3 linked regions of the Saccharomyces cerevisiae S288C genome follow. The gene in region 2 interacts genetically with the main gene of each other region. Each region holds a gene or a part of one and is shown on either strand. Other genes may lie near its edges.

The links. A genetic interaction does not mean that the proteins touch.
Region 1: mutations in DBP5 (region 2) and LSM7 together harm fitness more than expected from each alone (negative genetic interaction), as found in Saccharomyces cerevisiae (4 studies listed by BioGRID, with this or other methods).
Region 3: mutations in DBP5 (region 2) and THP1 are lethal when combined (synthetic lethality), as found in Saccharomyces cerevisiae (3 studies listed by BioGRID, with this or other methods).

Annotation. Positions count from the first base shown.
Region 1 is NC_001146.8:348,956-353,526, reverse strand, and holds LSM7 (Sm-like protein LSM7), read right to left. Parts: upstream 2,588-4,571; coding exon 2,570-2,587; intron 2,474-2,569; coding exon 2,144-2,473; downstream 1-2,143. Other genes in the region: MPF1 (Mpf1p), read left to right, coding at 1-707; MFA2 (mating pheromone a), read right to left, coding at 997-1,113; YNL146W (uncharacterized protein), read right to left, coding at 1,510-1,812; YNL146C-A (uncharacterized protein), read left to right, coding at 1,947-2,141; ALF1 (Alf1p), read left to right, coding at 2,856-3,620; PGA2 (Pga2p), read left to right, coding at 3,771-4,160. UniProt on the Saccharomyces cerevisiae protein: Component of LSm protein complexes, which are involved in RNA processing and may function in a chaperone-like manner. Component of the cytoplasmic LSM1-LSM7 complex which is involved in mRNA degradation by activating the decapping step.
Region 2 is NC_001147.6:413,959-422,167, forward strand, and holds DBP5 (ATP-dependent RNA helicase DBP5), read right to left. Parts: upstream 1,950-8,209; coding exon 501-1,949; downstream 1-500. Other genes in the region: TOM6 (Tom6p), read left to right, coding at 1-79; STD1 (Std1p), read right to left, coding at 2,389-3,723; ssRNA exonuclease RAT1, read right to left, coding at 4,672-7,692. UniProt on the Saccharomyces cerevisiae protein: ATP-dependent RNA helicase associated with the nuclear pore complex and essential for mRNA export from the nucleus. May participate in a terminal step of mRNA export through the removal of proteins that accompany mRNA through the nucleopore complex.
Region 3 is NC_001147.6:193,268-198,480, reverse strand, and holds THP1 (Thp1p), read right to left. Parts: upstream 3,512-5,213; coding exon 2,144-3,511; downstream 1-2,143. Other genes in the region: NBA1 (Nba1p), read left to right, coding at 1-1,261; succinate dehydrogenase assembly factor SDH5, read right to left, coding at 1,486-1,974; DSC2 (Dsc2p), read left to right, coding at 3,681-4,649; YOL075C (uncharacterized protein), read left to right, coding at 4,939-5,213. UniProt on the Saccharomyces cerevisiae protein: Component of the SAC3-THP1 complex, which functions in transcription-coupled mRNA export from the nucleus to the cytoplasm.

The sequences.
Region 1 (4,571 bases), on a different chromosome or scaffold from region 2:
TAGATCCTTTGCGCTGTGATCGGTCAGTGTTGAAAATTAATAATTTTGAACCGGTATACGAGGGAACAGGAAGGTCAACTATTTCGAATTCTGCTGAGCGTACGAATCGTGAAGAAAAGTTAAACCGTGGCAATGAAGATGTAAATGGAGATGAAGATGATGACGAAGACGAAGACGATGCTAATTACGAAGAGGATGATGAAGATGGATATGTTGAGGATGATGACATCAATAGATTGGTATATTTGGATGAAAGAGAATCTCGCTATGAGAATGCGGACGTTGAGTACGGTACAATATTCAGTACGAAAAGCTTTTCCGTGACTGGTTGTTTAAATCATGATTTTCCAAAGAAATTGTCACTAAAATGTGGAAATAAGAATCAATCCAGTAACGATTCGAAGTGGGCACCGGCGACACAACTAGTTTCAAGGAAAAGATATATCAAAGACTCATTAAGATGCATCAAACCGTTAACGGAAGACCACCCATGGGTAGGTAAGATTATTTTCAAACCGGCACTGCCACCAGCATTCGAAACGAATAATCCACCTATAAGAGTTTATAGTGGTGAAGATAGTACGGACTTGATGCACGTGAAAAACCATTATTTAAAGCCATACATAGTGGGATCCTGCGGGTTTTTGAAAACTGGCTCAAAACTTTTTCACTTTTACGATAGAACTAACGACCTTACGAATTTATGAAATATATGTGTTTTTAATGATTAAATAATAGTCAAAAATATAATTAAAAAAAAAATCGAATGTAATGGGTGGTTCATCTTTCATTTCCTGCGGAGGGAAAGGCGTATCAGAAAAGAAAAACATGAAAAAATCTGTTAAAGTGATAACTACAAATACATATGTATAAAAGTATGAAAAAGTATGGAAAGGGTGAGCTAATGATGAGAGAATTGGAATAAATTAGTTTGCCAGCAACACGTAATAAATGAAAGGGTAGATATTGATTTGACCTCTTGGTTGTCGTCAAAAATTAAGCGATAACACAGGCGGGATCCCAGAAGAGGCCCTTGATTATATAGTTGTCTTTCTTTTCAGAGGATTTATCCTTCTGAGTGGCTTGTGTGGAAGCAGTGGTGATCGGTTGCATTAAGGTTGGTAGTTATTGTTGTATGAAGATGATAGCTCGCTGGTGTCTCTAGTGATGTCAATGAACGGATGAACGACAGAAGAAGTGGATGGAAATAAAATGGTTATTTATCAGATATTTATATACAAAATTACGTGGTAATGCAACAGCTTTTTCCTCTCGCTTTGTTCTTTTTCCTCTGACATGCATGTTTCATTTTCGTTCCTTATGGCATCCATGTCATGTAAATTTCCCGAATAGGTAAATACATGCTTTTTTAACTTAAAAAATTATGGGCGTCCTATGCATGCACTTAACGGAAAAGGAAACTATCAATTAATTATGTAGTAGATGGTGTACCTATTATTGCATTAGTATTTGTTTCAAATGAAAACATGCTGCTTTAACTTTTCTAATTTATACCATAAACGGTATAGTAATGATGAAACTGAAAAATAAAAAAATAAACAGTCTGGTCTTATCGACCATGTTAACATCATCAAAATCCACCAAGTTTTCCGAGAAAATAGATGAGGGCCTGTTATTATTACTAACTGAGTTTGAATTCTTTTTGTAAAATCGTGGCAGTAGTTCTTGAAATGTCATTTTGAAGGACACTGAGTTTCGAAATATCAACATTATGAGTATGAATAAAAGTGTAAGGATAATGATCCTTTTGAGTTCCATGTGATGAGAAGTGGTATGCTTAGTATTGCTCATACTGGACAAATACGAAAGGAATCAGTAAATAATTAAGATTGTAGAGGGAGGGGTGTATGTGTATGCGGATACTTTTTTGATTTGGCAGAAGGAAAATTGGTATTGGCAGCTGTACAGTGACTCCCCTTATACAAATGATCTCAGTTTGTTTCGTTTTTCCTCATTCTCTGGCTTTAGACTTCAAATCGCGGTGTAAAAAAAATAGGACAAAACTATGTAGCGCATACTATGTCAGTCAGGTATTGAGAATATGTAAAGAAATGCCATACCGTGATTTGATTTTGTTTTCAACTGTAAGGAAGGGAGTTTATATGAGATTATATTATTAAACCTATTTTTGCATATATAGTACATCAGAACCTTCGGCGGAACTTAAAGAGACCAAAATAGTACCTCTTATGACGGTCAAACCTAGCTTTCTTGCGTTTTTAGAAATCAGTTCAGTGTTGTTTTCATCATCAGGATTAGACATATATTCTACTGTATCATCAAGTACCAAGTTCATCAGTTGATCATAGCCTTTTAGGACACCTATAACTAATTTACCACCCATTAATTTGACGCGAATTTTAGAATCTTTATACTTCGCTAAATCCAGAATAGCTTCTCTTTTAGGGCCTTCGAATTTTTTCCTTTGCTGTTGTGGTTTGTTCTCTGATTTCTTAGTTCAAAAAGGAAACATAGTTATTATAATGTTAGTATAAATAAGTCAAAAGGAAGGTTATTGCCACGGAAGAAAATAAGAAGTGAAACATACGGAGTGTTGCTGATGCATGTTTTTTTGGTTAATGTTCTGTGTAGTAAACAAAGTGCTGCTCTCAAATAACTTTCTTTTTTACTGTAGTAGTATACACGTACATGCGTATTCTTAATTGTCGTTTCCCAGTTGTCTGTTTTCAGCTACAGCTTTTTTCGCCTTTGTTCGAAAGAACAGTACTTTTTTCCGGCTCGCAGGGAAACGGCAGTTGAAGAAGACAAGCGACAAGAACATAGAGCAACGAATTCAAATAAAGAGATAGAAAAAAAAATTACATGGCAAAACTATGGTTAGAGTTGTCATAGAGAGTGAATTGGTCCGTACAGAAAAGGAATTACCAAATTCGCTTAAATTAAGGCAGTTCAAGGACCGATTGTACCATGTTACCGGAGTGGAACCAGAGGATATGGAAATAGTTGTGAAAAGACAGTACGACAACAAGGAGATATATAGTACTAAAAAGGGGGGTGCCTATTCAAATGAGGATGAAGATGCCAACTTCCTAAAAGGAGAGGAGGAGCTTATTGTGGTTGTTACAGACTCTAATGCCCAATCAATCTCTAACCAGCTGGCCACGCAAGCGGAAGGAATCCCCTCAATGGAAGTAATTAGCGAGGAGGATTATTTGCGAAGGGATCAATCCGTATTACGATGGAAGATGGCTCACGGCTATGGTAGGTTTAATGCTGCACAGCAGAGCCAGCGCGCTGCGCTGGCAAAGCAGGACGAAGCATATGCCCGAGAGCAATTAACGGCGGCTATCGGCCGCCACTGTCGTGTCACAGTAGACGGGAGCGCTCCACGTGAGGCCATTTTACGGTACGTAGGACCACTACCGTTGGACGTGATGGGCACATGGTGCGGTGTGGAATTCCCGGAAGCCGCAGGCAAAAACGATGGGCGCATAAATGGGGTAACACTGTTTGGGCCTGTGGCGCCGGGTCACGGATCGTTTGTGCGTCCGCGGGCTGTGGAAATTCTATCAAAAGACGAAGAATCCGCCGAGGTGGAAGACGTCCATGATGACGTGGAGAGCGATGATGAAATTTGAATTTGTGCAGAATTAGCGCGGTGGCGGTTTAGTTAGTGATCTCCATCCGATGTCAACATATTATTATTTGTAGTTGTATTTATGTGCACTCGGCGGTTTGTATGAGGAAAAGATGTTATGAAGAGAAAAACTGCCGAGTAATTGAAAGAGATGTCTGAAGTAGCGGAAACATGGGTGGATACCTGGATGGCAAAACTAGTCAACTATGACTACAAGCACTTTATAAGATTGGTGATAATTGTAGGTGGTTATTTACTCTTAAGAAATATCGCATCCAGGGAATTGGCGAAGAAGCAGTTGGCTGCCCAAGTGGAAAAGGACAAACGAGACAAAGAGGAAAAGAGATCAAAAGACCTGATCGACAAGCCAGATGATGCTGCAACAGCAGAAACAACTTCTTTCGGTTGGGGTAAGAAAACTAGAAGAAGAGTTAAAAGACAACAGGAGTTGTTTGAAAACGCTTTGGAAGAGGCTAAGAGAAGAAACCAAGGGTTGGACCCAGATAGTGATGCTGATATTGAGGAACTACTGGAAGAATAGGCTCTCTGTGTATGTATGGGTTCCTCTTTGTCATTGTGACATTGTTTTGTTTTTAGTTTTTCTATAGTTTTCTGATAAAATAGTCTAACCATTACCGATGTTGCTACTTGCATCATTCTCAACGTCTAATCAACTTGCGTTTGCGTCTCAAATTGAGTTTGTAGGTTACGTGTCGCCTTAATAGTCAGCAAATGCCGACGTTTGTGAGACGGATAACGACTGCGATGATTCCCATTCCGCATGAATGATGCAATTCACAATTCAAACACGATATCAAACGACTAAGCCGTGAATTAACGGCTAGAATGCAAAAGAAAATGGGTAAGAATTGATTTATGTAGATACGGCAAGACGATACTTTCCTTAAACAGCCGAGAAACGAAAAGGTTTAAAGAGATGTACTGTGACGTA
Region 2 (8,209 bases):
ACTAAACGGTGCCTTCTTCGTTGCAGGTGTTGCGTTTATTCAATCTCCACTCATGGACATGTTGGCCCCACAATTATAAGGGGTTGGTTCTTGTATAGTTGAGATTTTTTCACTTACCTGTATATATATTGGTTTTTGGGTTCTCAAAAGAATTTGTCAAATATGTTTATATTTTATTCCCGAATTATGTAGAGTTAGCAGTGTATATAATGGAAAAAAAGCAAGTATGCTTTACATTTAGTATTCCTTTTAACGCAAGCCTTTTGTATACGGGCTGTTTACTGTTCACCGGAAAGCCGTGACAAAAGAGAGTGACAAAGGTATCGAAATCACAAGGTATATGCTGTGTTTGTATTTATATAAGCTTGCCTCACAAGTAAAAGTGGATCAACAAACTGAGAAGAAACAAATGGGACCCATTGATGTCGTAATAATATATTCATTGGTGTATGAAATTAGATTAAAGCTTTTACGTATTTTGAGGTATTATGTACTGAATTCTAATCCTTTAACACTTTCTTAACTATTTTTTCGACTTCATCCCAATCATCCGTTGGAACACGAGTCATTTCTATATCACCGAAGTATTTCTGAATTGCAGATAAAATATTGAAAGAATTTTTGTCATGTACAAAGGAAATGGCAACACCTTTTCTGCCGAATCTACCGGTTCTACCGATTCTGTGAATGTAAGTAGCTGGATCTGCTTGTCCGTTAGCAAGCGTTGGAAGATCATAGTTGACAACCATTGAGACAGTAGGAATATCAATACCACGGGCCAGGACATTAGTAGTAATCAAAACTTTGGATCTACCCTCTCTGAAGTCGTCTATTAATCTGTCTCTTTCTTGTGTCTGTAAATCACCATGCAAGATAGAAACTTCATGACCTTCACTTTTCAATTTCCCATATAAAACGTTTGCGGTTTTTTTGGTTGCAACAAAAATAATGGAAGATCCAATTGTCATTAAACCATATAGCTCAGTTAAAACATCAAACTTATCTGCTTCGTTTTTGCAGTCCATGTATAGTTGTTTGATGGCATCAACATTAACTTCATTTGTTTGTAATTCTAAAGTATTAGCATTTGGAACGATCTTCTTTGCGTACTGCCTAACTGCATCGGCAAAAGTAGCACTAAACAAAACAAGTTGAGTATCCTTGGGTAAAAATCTCTTAACACGAATACACTGGTCACCTAGACCCTGCTGATCCAACATGTTATCGGCTTCATCCAAAACAAAAATTTTAATTTTCTGTAGCTGCATCAATTTTCTACGCATTAGGTCAAGAACAGTGCCCGGCGTACCAACAATCACTTGAGCATTAATTTGCTTGTTTTTCTCAAAAGAATCGGGAACAATTAACTGACTGGTTATTTTTGTGAACTTACCCATTTCCTGAACGACTTCTAGTGTTTGTCTGGCCAGTTCTCTGGAGGGGGCTAAGCAAATTGCCTGTGGAGATGCGTCTTCTGGGTTTACTCTTGTTAGCATCGTTAAAGAAAAGGCGGCAGTTTTACCTGTACCTGATTGAGACTGAGCAATCATGTTCCTAGGCGGATTATGTAATAATAATGGCAGCGCCCTTTCTTGAATTTTGGATGGTTTTTGAAATTTCATAGCATATATCCCCTTTAGTAGTTCTGGTGCTAATCCTAATTCATCAAAAGATTTAGCACTGTACAATGGAGAATTTGGGTCAGCCTGGATATCAGCAAGTTTGACCTTAACTTCATATTCTGAGCTGATTAAATTACTATCCTCCTGTTTTGTTTTTTTTTCCTCAACTTTTGGAACTAATTTTTCTGCAGGCTTGATCGAATCAGCAGTCTTTTCTGGTTGGGACTTAACAGTCTCTTTTGTTGAAACTTCACTTGTATCCTCTTTCTCATTATCAATCTTTAAAGAAGCTAGTAAATCGGCCGGATCTCTCTTTGTATCACTCATTCCGATCTAAGGTGGTAAGTATTTTTATAGATGTTCTTGGTTGCTGATCGAGTATTTTATGGTGTATAAAGGTCAACTGGTTTTAAAGGTAATGCAAATTTTGCAATGCTTTGCTTGATTGAAAAATTTGCATACGGGTAATACCGCGTTGATAATAATGTAACAATCAAATAATCAAGACAACAGCAGAGTTATTCTTTAAATACGATATATATGGGAGTATCATCATATTTAAATGTTGATTTTTTTGGGTTTTTTTTTTGGGCAATTTTAGAGCAGTAGGCTTAAAATATATTAAAATTATTAAAGGTATTACTTAATCTTAAAGGTCGTCGAAATCTATAATAGTACGTGTATCAAACACTTTTGTAATTAATATTAATGTCGTTAAGTGGTTAAATAGTGGGGTATTTCGTTTTTGCGTTGTTGTAAAAATTTACTAGGACATTCCATCAGGCTTCCAATCTAACCCCAACCTTTGATAAACCTGTGTTTGGCATTGAAACCAGATGGCAGCCCTCTCCTCTGAAGTTAGAGAAACCTTATTAACGACATTTTTCTGTGTACCAGCACCTAATGTCTTAGCATCATTTTTATAATTTTTTAGTTGCAAATTTTTCATTAAAGCCTTTTTTAAAAGACTACCAGAGTTAGTGCAGTCATGTATTTTAAAACCATGCGGTATGAGGCTTGGAGGCGGCATGTCAGGCCTTTTCAAATTTGAATTTAGTAATTTCCATCTCTTGTATTCGGAGCGCTTTTGTTTAAAGTCATATCTGCATTGGGCCTCGACGGCAACATTTAATAAATAGTTCTCAATTATATTTCTCCATTCAGGCTTTGATAGACGCATAATGGGTTCCTTTGACCCAGTCATTTCTTCATGTCTTTTTCTTGCTGATGCAACTGTATATTTTGCGCTTGTCAACTTAAAATTGCGGTCTAGATTTGCTTCTATGTATAAGTCTGAGTTAACCAATGTCGCTATTATAAACTCATCACTGGAACTTAGGGGAAGTAATTGTAGTCTGAATTGCGGTAAGTTTATACCGGAGGTCACTACCGTCGGTAACTGGGAACCCCATTCTGGCCTTAATTGTTCCACAATTAACAAGGATCGTATATCGTTTAGATCCCAGTCCAGCAATTCGCGCTTTGTAAACTTAGGACGTCCGTTATAAAGTATATTTGCTGGATCAGACATCAGAACTTCGGGAGAATACATATCATAGAATGTTTTGGGTAAAGCGTCTTCAAGTGTTACTTCTGTGACGAACTTAGGTGTTTTTGTATCAATTAACGAGCTGCCTGTGGTGATGTCCGTAAGAGCAGTAGATGGCTGTGAAAATATACTCGATTCGTATGAAGATGAATGGTCTGAAACAAAACTTTGACTGTCCGGGGTATTTATGTGTTGGATATTTGCATTTTCTGCAGTATTACTGTTCACTTCCATAGGTTTAGTTCCTGCAGTAGGCAATAACCTTTTTATGATTTCTATTCTTGCCCTGTCTGCATATTCTGGTGGTGTAGTAACAAAATTGTTGTTGCTCCTAACATTTCCTGAATTGGAACTCAAATTATAGTGATTTGGTGTGTTTATTTCTTGGTTATTATGTGGAAGATTGCTGTTGAATCCAATAGAAGGAACGCTATTTGTCATTTCTGTGTCAGCGTTGGGTTGAACATTCTTTGGATTTTCGTCATGTCTTTTCGATTTTCTTTTCCCTAATACTTGGTTCCTCGCTGTTGCTGGAGGTGGTGAAACAAACATCTCGTTTTATTTGTCTGTTAAGTAGTGCAAAACCTCCTACAATCGCGATGGTAACGAAAATGATAGGTAAATGAGAGCTTCTAATATATTAAACTGGTTTCCTACGGTACGATATTTCTTGAAGCCTTTCTTCTCCTCTATTTAGTTCGAAAACGTCCCTCTCTCGTTAACTCAAAAGAAAATTTACTAAACTATAACTCTGTCTTTTAATAACTCCTGGAATTTTTCCGTTATGGAACTAAGAGCAGCCTTCGCTAAAAGATTTTCCGTGTTTTCAAAAGGAAGGGAAAAAATTGGACAAAAACCCGCGTACGAAAATTTTCCTGCTTAGCTCAGTCGGATTTATTGAAAACTTTATTTCATTTTTCCACAACATCCCACATTACCCGATTGTTTGTTGCAAGATTTTTTGAAGAGGACGCTTGCATATTGGCCAAGGAGGAAGTGTAAGATGTGCTTTCGTGACTTGAGCGAAGGGGTTGGCGTTGTATAGCATGAACTTCCCAATATGTTGCATTCATCCCTGGATGATAACAGACCAAAGACCAAATTTGATTTTAAGTTTAGGAACTTAGAAAAAAAAGGTAGTGCCGTATTCGAAACTTTCGCCGTGGACTGCCTCTCTTTTCAAAAAAGAAGAACAGACCATGCTTTTTCTCCTGGATCTGGAAGAAAAAATACACGAAGCGTATAAATCAAAATAGAGTTCGGTCTATTGGCTTACAAGGATTTCGCTATTTTACAAGAGGACGTATATTCATATATTCATGCTTCAGCATGATTTTCTCTTAACTTAATATGTTCCATTTTTTGTTATAAAATATTACTGTTCGTCGTTTGTAAGAGCAGACACTATTATCTTAAAAGAGCTTTTTTTTAATTGTATGAAGATTTTATAAATTTGCGAAAACCTAAATTTACCATAAAATAAAATGCGCACGAGTAGTTCTAACGCCTATTTGCTCTTGAATTGTCATACCGACTTTGCTTGTTATTCCGAGAGTAGCTGTTGCCGCTGTACTGTCCACTATTTCTATTTCCGGAATAGTTATTGTTCCTGTAATTTGAATTTTGTCTGTAATTATTGTTTCCACCATCATACCTGCTATTGTTGAAGCCGGGTTGACTGTTGTAGCTATTCCTACCATAGTTGTGGGCGGGTTGGACATTATTTCTACTGAGCTCAGCAAAATAAAAGAATGCTCGATAGCCACCAGTTCTTGGTTTGTACTGAGTAATACCCTTTGGTCCTACTGGAACAATATTTTGCTTCAAATCATTACCAAAGTTCCAGCGACGGGAGTAATTTTGGTTATTATACTTGTACATTATGGAATCAAGGTCATATGCTGTTAGTACCGGTTCTGACGGAATGAACCCGTTCAGTATAATAGACTTATTTCTCGATGGCAACGGAATTAATCTATAGGACATCTTTAAAATCAAGGTGGTAGATAAATTTGGCAGTGACCCACCTTGAATCGGACATACAATTTTCCCATTTAATTCGAAACCTTCAACGTCCTTTGATACAATACCACTTAAACCACTCTTGAAGTGTTGAAACTTCACAACAACATTGTTGTTGTTGTTTTCCTTTGAGTATAATTTCTTCGAAAACCTCTCATAATTAGCATTCTTGTTACTTATTAATAAAACAGGTTCTCCGCGAATATTTCTTGCCCTCTCAGCATCAGAAAGTAAAGGATATTGTGCACGAACAGCTGTTAACAGTCTATCCTGATCGATGAATGGTAGCAACGCTATGCCTTGCCAGGACATCTTCTTACCATTCATATCTATGGGAAATTCTTCAGGATAAAAATCAATGATTTCAGAGTCAGGTTCAGACATCAAAGACCGGAAAATTTTTGGCAAAGCATGGCCAGATGCAGCTGGTAAAACACTCATCAATTGTTCGTAAGGTAAAAATGGAGTACCTTCTTCGAACTTTATCTCCAAGTGAGAAAACCCATGGAAATCTGTTGCCAGAGGAGCATAATGGTACGGATAGAACCAATTCCAAGAGGCACAACCTTGATAGTAATACATTAGTACCCAGGCGACCCCTTCGATATAGCATTTTACCATATCTTTTCTTAACTGTTCAATATCTTGAGGAGTAACGTGAAATTTAGCTGTGTAATATCTTTCGTGGTAACCAGGTTCGAATAGTTTGACAAATTCATCTGTATCAAAGACCCCATTTTTGGGACCTTCGCTGACATTCACTGTGCTGTGGACTGGTGAATCTCTTGATACTTCTGTAGTTTCAGAGTTTTCCCTGTCGTTTACGTCAGCCACAATCTCATCTTTGATCTCTGCATCGAGATCGCACTCTGATTCCGCTTTCTCTGTCTTAACTTTTTTGCTATCCTTAGCAATTTCTTCCTCTTCATTATCCTTTTCAAGACGGTGTTTCTTATTTATTATTTTCTGTTTCATAACTTCTGCAAGGTTAAAATTAGTTTTGTTAGCCTTACTAACAGCATCATCAATTTCTTCCTTGCTGATATCTTTCATCAGTTCATTGTTCTTATCACTCTGTTGCTTAACTTTGGCGATTGCTTCTTCGTTCCCCTCGTTCGCAAGCATCAGTTCCTTTTTCAACCTTACCATATCACTGGTGGTCAAGTTCCATGAACCTTTTGCTAAATTTCCTTGTGTGTCATACATTTGCAGTTGCTCCGTAGCTACTGTAGGATGCCTGTCTTGACCTTTTGACATATTTTTCTGCGCTTTCCTTCTTTCAAAAGCTTCTTTCTTTCTGGCTTCTTGAATATGTCTAGTTTTGAAGATATCCCCCTCACGGGAGCCAAGGTGTTGCAATAGCGTTTCAACAGAAGGGAGGTTCAAGACACCGTCGCAGGTCATGTACGTTTTCAATTTCGGTAGTACTACCTTCCAAATATCCAAGAGAATATCAATACTATTTTCTCTGACATCTAAGCATGGTAAATGTGGTAAAAAGTCATTACCACAGAAAAAGCACATGAAAACCCAATCGTCGATAGCCCTTTCTAAATCAAATGTAAATGGAAGACCCGGAACCCATAACTCAGCGGACAAGTATTCCCTCAAAACATTTATGTGCAGCCACAAGAAAGGTTGTTCGGAATTTTGTTTTTGGAGAAATTGTTTTTCTTCTTCAGTCATATTTATAGTATCTTTTAAGTTATTTCTTTTCCGATTGTCTTGAGCAAAAACATCTTCTCTTAGAATTTTAAAATGTGGTTCATGAGTGGCAAGGCCCAAAAAAATTAAATCAGCATCCAAACCGTATATACAGTGCGTTGTGTTGGGATTATATTCAGGATCAGCTCTTTGAGACCTAATGAAATTCATTATTTTGTGCTCACCTTCACCTGGGACGGTGGCGTCACTGATAATCACCTGCAGGTTTTTCCAACCAGGGTCAGTGGCCAGTTTAAATGCTGTCCAATAACGGAGGGCCGCGGCAAGCTTATCCATAAATGGGGTGCCTGGAGTGATCGCATTTGAATCCCAAGTTTTCTTGTTCCTGACGGCATCATCGATTATCTCACCAACTTCTTCTCGCTGTCTCATAATTTCTTCCCTGGCTTCGTTTTCAATCTGAGCATCCCTAGCACTCCTAAATCTACGCGCTCTCTGCTGGTTCATTTTGGCACGAGGAGCAACACCATCAACAGCCATAACAAGTACCTTGCGTGGTCTAGCCATATTTAACACACGATTGGTATATTCAAAAACTGCCAAAAGCATTTCATCTTCAGTCTCTGGAGGCGGTTTGTTTTCTGGGTGCGAACATGGATGAACAATACCATTCATATCCAAATACAAGTTGTCTAACTCACCGTTTGGATTTGAGGCGGAATAATCCAACGGCAATATGACACCGTCGACTATCTGAGGTTGCTCTTCCAATACTGGGGATATGATCTTTGGATATTTTCGAGATAGCCATCTGAAAAATGACGGAACACCCATTATATTACGAAACTTGGCTGTAGCACTTCCTTGAAGAACCTGTCTCACTAATTATTACGGGATGTCTTTATGTTGTAATAGGTTCATCGATGAGGTTTGGTTTTTTATTGCCATAGCTGAAAATCTTATCTAGATACTCTCGTTACCCGACTTATCATTCCCGAGACGCTCAAATATACAACCTGATGAGAAAGTAAGGTAATATACCTCCAAATGTTCAAGATTATAAAATACATTGCAGTGCCTTAAAAACGTACTTCCGATATTATGTGATAGTAAACTTTTCGTAGTTTTTCATCAGAGATGGGGAAAGCTTTTTTGGTGAATTGATTTTACAACTACTTGTTTCAGTATACTATAAAAATCGAGTAAAATTCGTGAATCTTTGAATAGAAAAGATTTCGTGAACATATCTATAAATTAATCACTTTCTTAACCGATATAAGATTTTAGCCCGGTGATATAGGCTTCAATCAGCAGTTACGCTTTTTTGCTTTAATTTTACTGTTTATGGAGG
Region 3 (5,213 bases), 220 kb from region 2:
GATTTCCAACTACTCTGGAATTATTCAAGAAGGCGTTGAAGTATCATATGTGGTCAAAAACCGGCAACAGACCCAAGAACGGCGCACAAGTAAGGATTCCAATAGTTTGTACTCCTTGAAAGAGCCCGTGAGCAAGAACGAGTTACCGTCGTTGCCCATGTTGCCTTCAGAAGCGACATTGACAAAACATCTAAGTGATAACCAAAGCACAAAATCGAATACCAATGCAGACGAAATTGTCATTAAACCAGTTACTAATGCCAAACCTGTGGGAAGGTTTAACTCTAACACTTCAAAAAAAGTAGAGGGTCGTGGCTCACTGAAACTGTTATCTAGTCCTCTACGTCAGGAAAAAGTTATGCGTTCCTCTATAGGATCAGGTAATTTGGCCAGCGAGAGCGGATCTTCCACTTATAATACCAAATTCCATCAATCTATTCAAGAGCAGCTCGAAGAAGAAGAGGAAGGAAATGTTAGCGATAAGCTTTCAATTGTTTCCAGTGTCATACCCGAGTTGTATACAACCACCAACGAAGCACCCAAAGCGATAAACCCAATACGTTCTGAAACCAATGACTACAATCCAACTATTCCGCCCAGAAGTAAGGACCGTCCTAGGTCAAGGTTGTTCATCGAAGAAGGTGATGGCGAGGGGGATCTTTTAACCGAAGAAATATTACCAACGCCGGTCCAACCTGGTGGCCACTATAAGAACTCATCTCAGATTTCCACAGTTAGTGAACAAAAATCGGAATCTTACTATTCTGCGGCAACGAGTATGCCTCCAGAGGAAGAGACTTACTTGACAAGACCATTGCCCAGCACACCCAATGAGGATAGCAGAGTTACATCGAATTTGAAACGTGACGACACATTGAAGGCTATTCATGATAGGGCAAATCATACCTCTACTTCGACAAACAAACAAGATGATGACATGTACGAGGACATCATTGAGGAAACGCCCAAGAAAACTAAACTCAAGAAGGATACGAAAAAAAAGCTCAATAAAAAAAAATCTGTGAAGGAATTGCGATCCTTTGATATCGACACACTAAATCAACTGTTGAGTGTGACAAAGGGAACCTTAATCGGGTCTGAATTTGCGCAACTGGGGATGAAAATTGAGGAGAAACGTGCCCTGGAGAGACTAGTAGACTCTTTGTCCAGGTTAACAGCAGACATGGTTCTTGATCCGGACCGCTATGAAGAAGGACTGAAAAGATTAGACAAAGCTACAAAGGCTCTTGAAGGGTTTTGATGGTGCAACAACAATAATAATAGTAATAGTAACAGTGGTAGTAACAATAACAATAACAATATCAATATCAATATCAATAATATATTATAATACTAATAATGAATAATAATAATAGCAATAAGTATAGTATAGTATAGTGGTAATATATAAGTTTCTTTCTCTTCCGGTTTATTTACAAGTCATATACAAATAAAAAAAAGTGATAGTAATTCAATGGCTTGTATTCATTGATACTTGGACAAGTCCGGCATACTTAAAATTTCCTTCTCTTTATTTTCACTGAATTCTTGTAGCTGCTTCAGCAATTTAGAATTGGCCCACTTGTCAGGCAAGGGGCTGGTTTTGAAATTTTTTGTGGCCCAATAGTATATGTCCCAGTCCAACTCATTCAATAGCGAATCGTATTCTTCCAGTTCCTCTTCGTTCATCTTCTTCAAATATTTGGCAGCGAACCCAGATAGCAGCAAGTCCGTCTCCAAGATCCCTCTTTTGCGTGATTGATATATCAACCGAGCTCTTTTCTTATCCAATGGCTCGTTAGTTCTCTTTATGGGGGCAATTTTAATCCTCGTCACCACATCGTCGTGGTCATCTTTATCACTACTAAACCACCTACGACCGCACGACCATGCAGCGGACCCTGTTTGAGAGTTGATAATCTTGTAGCCTTGCAACGACAGTGTCTTTGTGAGTGCTGGAAACATATTGTGCATTTATGTGCTCCTTTTTAAAGTGTACTCCCTTTTTTCCTCCTGTTCTTTTTTTACAAATTTCGCCTTTCTTATATATCCTAAATATACTTAAAATCTAGTCTCTTATGAAATCTGTAAGAAACAGCATAATGTCGCTCCTTCTCTTCTATTTCCTATATATATCTACATATCACCAAAGAACGTGAGAATGGGCAGGAAACATCTTGGTGATTCGTTCATTAACCGGCGGAACAATCTCTTGTATCATTGTAGTCTTTTTCACTACACACAGTTGTAACTGTGGGAAACAGTTTGCGCGTAAAAGTCCCAAGTTAATCAGTGTCACAAGTACGTTTTCGACGTTCTTGGGGGAGTGAATGCCATTATAAATGGTAATTTCCTGGGCGCCGGGATCCTCGAATGTCGGACCAATAGATAGCTGTAGTACCCGTTCTATCAAGGAGTACGGTAATTTGTTCTGACCCCATTCGGTGGTCCAGGACTTTATTACCGTTTTAATCAGATTTCTGTACGTTACCATGGGCAGTTTCTCTAGGAGCACGATCAGTAACTGTCTTGCACACAAATGACGCTCGTTTTGTCTCAGCCAGAGACTCACGCCTTGAATATTCCCATAACGTACGTGTTTGTAGAGAACACTCCAATTATCAATTGTTTCTTGGGAAAGGAACGGTCGCAACGGTCCCCATTTGACCATCTTTCCCAGTATCAGCCCTGTAGGGATCATGTAATTTAGTATTCTGGTGCCATTCCTAGTGATCGCTTGGTTCGTTAACGGCAAGTTCAATAAGGACTGGAAAGCTTCATTGAATTGAACGAAGGCATTATGTACTTGAGAGTTCAACAAGTAGTACCTTCCTAATAGATATCTGTATTCTATTTGCTGGTCGAGCTGGTATTCGTTGAAATGTGCAAGCATGCTTTTTGGCTGAAAGTTCTTAAAGATATTGGAACATAATTGCGGTGACTCGATCCTGAAGTAGATGTTATTTAGTTTATTGACCAGGTAGAGCAGTATTCGTTGTTTTCCAGGTATATTTGTAGAAGATGCGTTACCTCGTGGAGGTTTGATGCTGTTAAATAGTCTTGATAGGATGGACGATATATGTGATAGAAATTGGTGACTTCTCGTATGCAGTTGCAAGTGGAAAGAGTCTAGTTTCCCAGCGAGATTGATGATAAATTCTGTTTCTCTAGTTGCTACTGGTATCAACATTTCTATGTGAGGAGCATTGTCGTTGATGAGACAGTTGATTAAACATTGATAAAACTCAAAAATTAGATCCGAACTGGACCAGGCTGACCATGGGTCGACATCTCGGGCATAATTTAAAAAGGATGTACACATGATTTTGAATCTCGTATCATTGGGCATAGCCGGGTGTTGTTCTACAAACGTTTCTAGCTGTTTATCATCAAATCCGGTCAATTGCTTCTGTAAGATAGCAATTTCCCTACCATTTTGGGACAAGTTTAGCGTTAGGTGGGAAAAATTTCCATGTGCTAATTCATCTAGCAACTGGTTGGCCATGTCCATTGCTATCTATCCTTTTATCCCTGCCCTGTTTCTTACTTTGAATGCCATTGATGTGAAGATGGTTTTTTTTTTTTGGAAAAGTATAGAAGAGAAATTTGACGTATAAACTTAACTATTAAAGGGAGAGAAAGTCAACGACATAAAAAGCAAACACAATAGTCTACAAATAATGTCTATGGAGCCTCCTGTGGGGCTTACGGCTATGCCCGTCACCAAGCTAGCCATGATCACGACGCTTGTGGTTCCCTTAGTTGCCTCGATTGCAAGTTACAAACATATATTTCTATTGCAATATGATCCTTTTCTGCAGACCTACCATCAATACTACCGTCTGCTCATATTCCAGTTCTGCGCCATCAATGAATCCGATACAGTAATACTGGCGTTGATATGGTATCTGTTTAGGCATTTAGAACGGCTACTAGGATCCCACAAGTACTTGACCTTGATTGTTTTGTCATGGGCCTACACCACCTTAGGAATTTGGGGATTGAATCTGATCTGGAACGCATTTATTGGACAGTACAAGTGGCTTCAATGGAACAATTTTAGTACAGGTTCACTGCCCATTGTTTTAAGCTTAGTACATTTTTACAAAGAATACACCCCTCAGATTTACGAATGGAATATAAGATTACTAGGACCTCGAGGAGGAGCATCAAGTCACAATGATAACAAGCGAGAAGACAAGAGCGCCGTAGAGTGGAAAATCAACGATCAGTTTCTTTTAAATGGGTTAATTCTCCTGCTTATATTAAATCAGGGGTTTGCAGGAATACTATGCGGATTCATAAGCTGGATGTGTGGTATTTTCATCGATAAGGGCCTGTTACCGGGATTAGACCATTGGAGAATACCGTTTGTATCCTATTTCATCTCTCAAGGCCCACCCACGAGGGCTAACGTTGCTATAGCGGCCAATGCGGCCACGAATACAGCAGCAGCAAGAGCCACTGTAGAAGCAGCTACTGCTGCTACAGGAAATGGAAATACAGGCAACTCTGGGCCTACAAGCCTACCGCTTCGTGGTTCAAGCACCACCCCTACAAATACCTCTAGCGCTGGTGATGACGAGCCTGGTGCCGATGAACCTGCAAGACCACTGGGAGTCCAATTTTTGGATACCTTTAGGAGATGATTTATATCAGCATATACCTACATAAACAAATAAACATAGCAACGGTTTAGCAACATCGTTTACAGCCATGTGAGGCAGTTACTTCTATCATATGTCTGGCTTTAGTATTGTTGGGTTGACACTTATACGAAATATCAGAAAGTGAAAAAAAAAAAAGGAAGGATCTAGTGATGAGATAAACGAATTTGTGATGTAAATGCAGAAGTAGGCACAAGTGCTTGGCAGTTTTCAAACGATCATCGTATTTTAAGCTACAATCACCAACGCCAAACATCCACTTGCAGCCACTATGTCACAGCAGGAGAATGGTGATGTGGCCACTGAATTAATCGAAAATAGACTTTCCTTCTCAAGAATCCCTAGAATAAGCCTTCATGTAAGGGATTTGTCAATCGTTGCATCCAAAACAAATACGACGCTAGTTAATACGTTTTCCATGGACCTGCCCAGTGGGTCGGTCATGGCAGTTATGGGTGGTTCGGGGTCAGGGAAGACTACGTTGCTGAATGTTCTGGCATCCAAGATCAGTGGTGGGTTAACTCATAATGGTTCTATACGGTACGT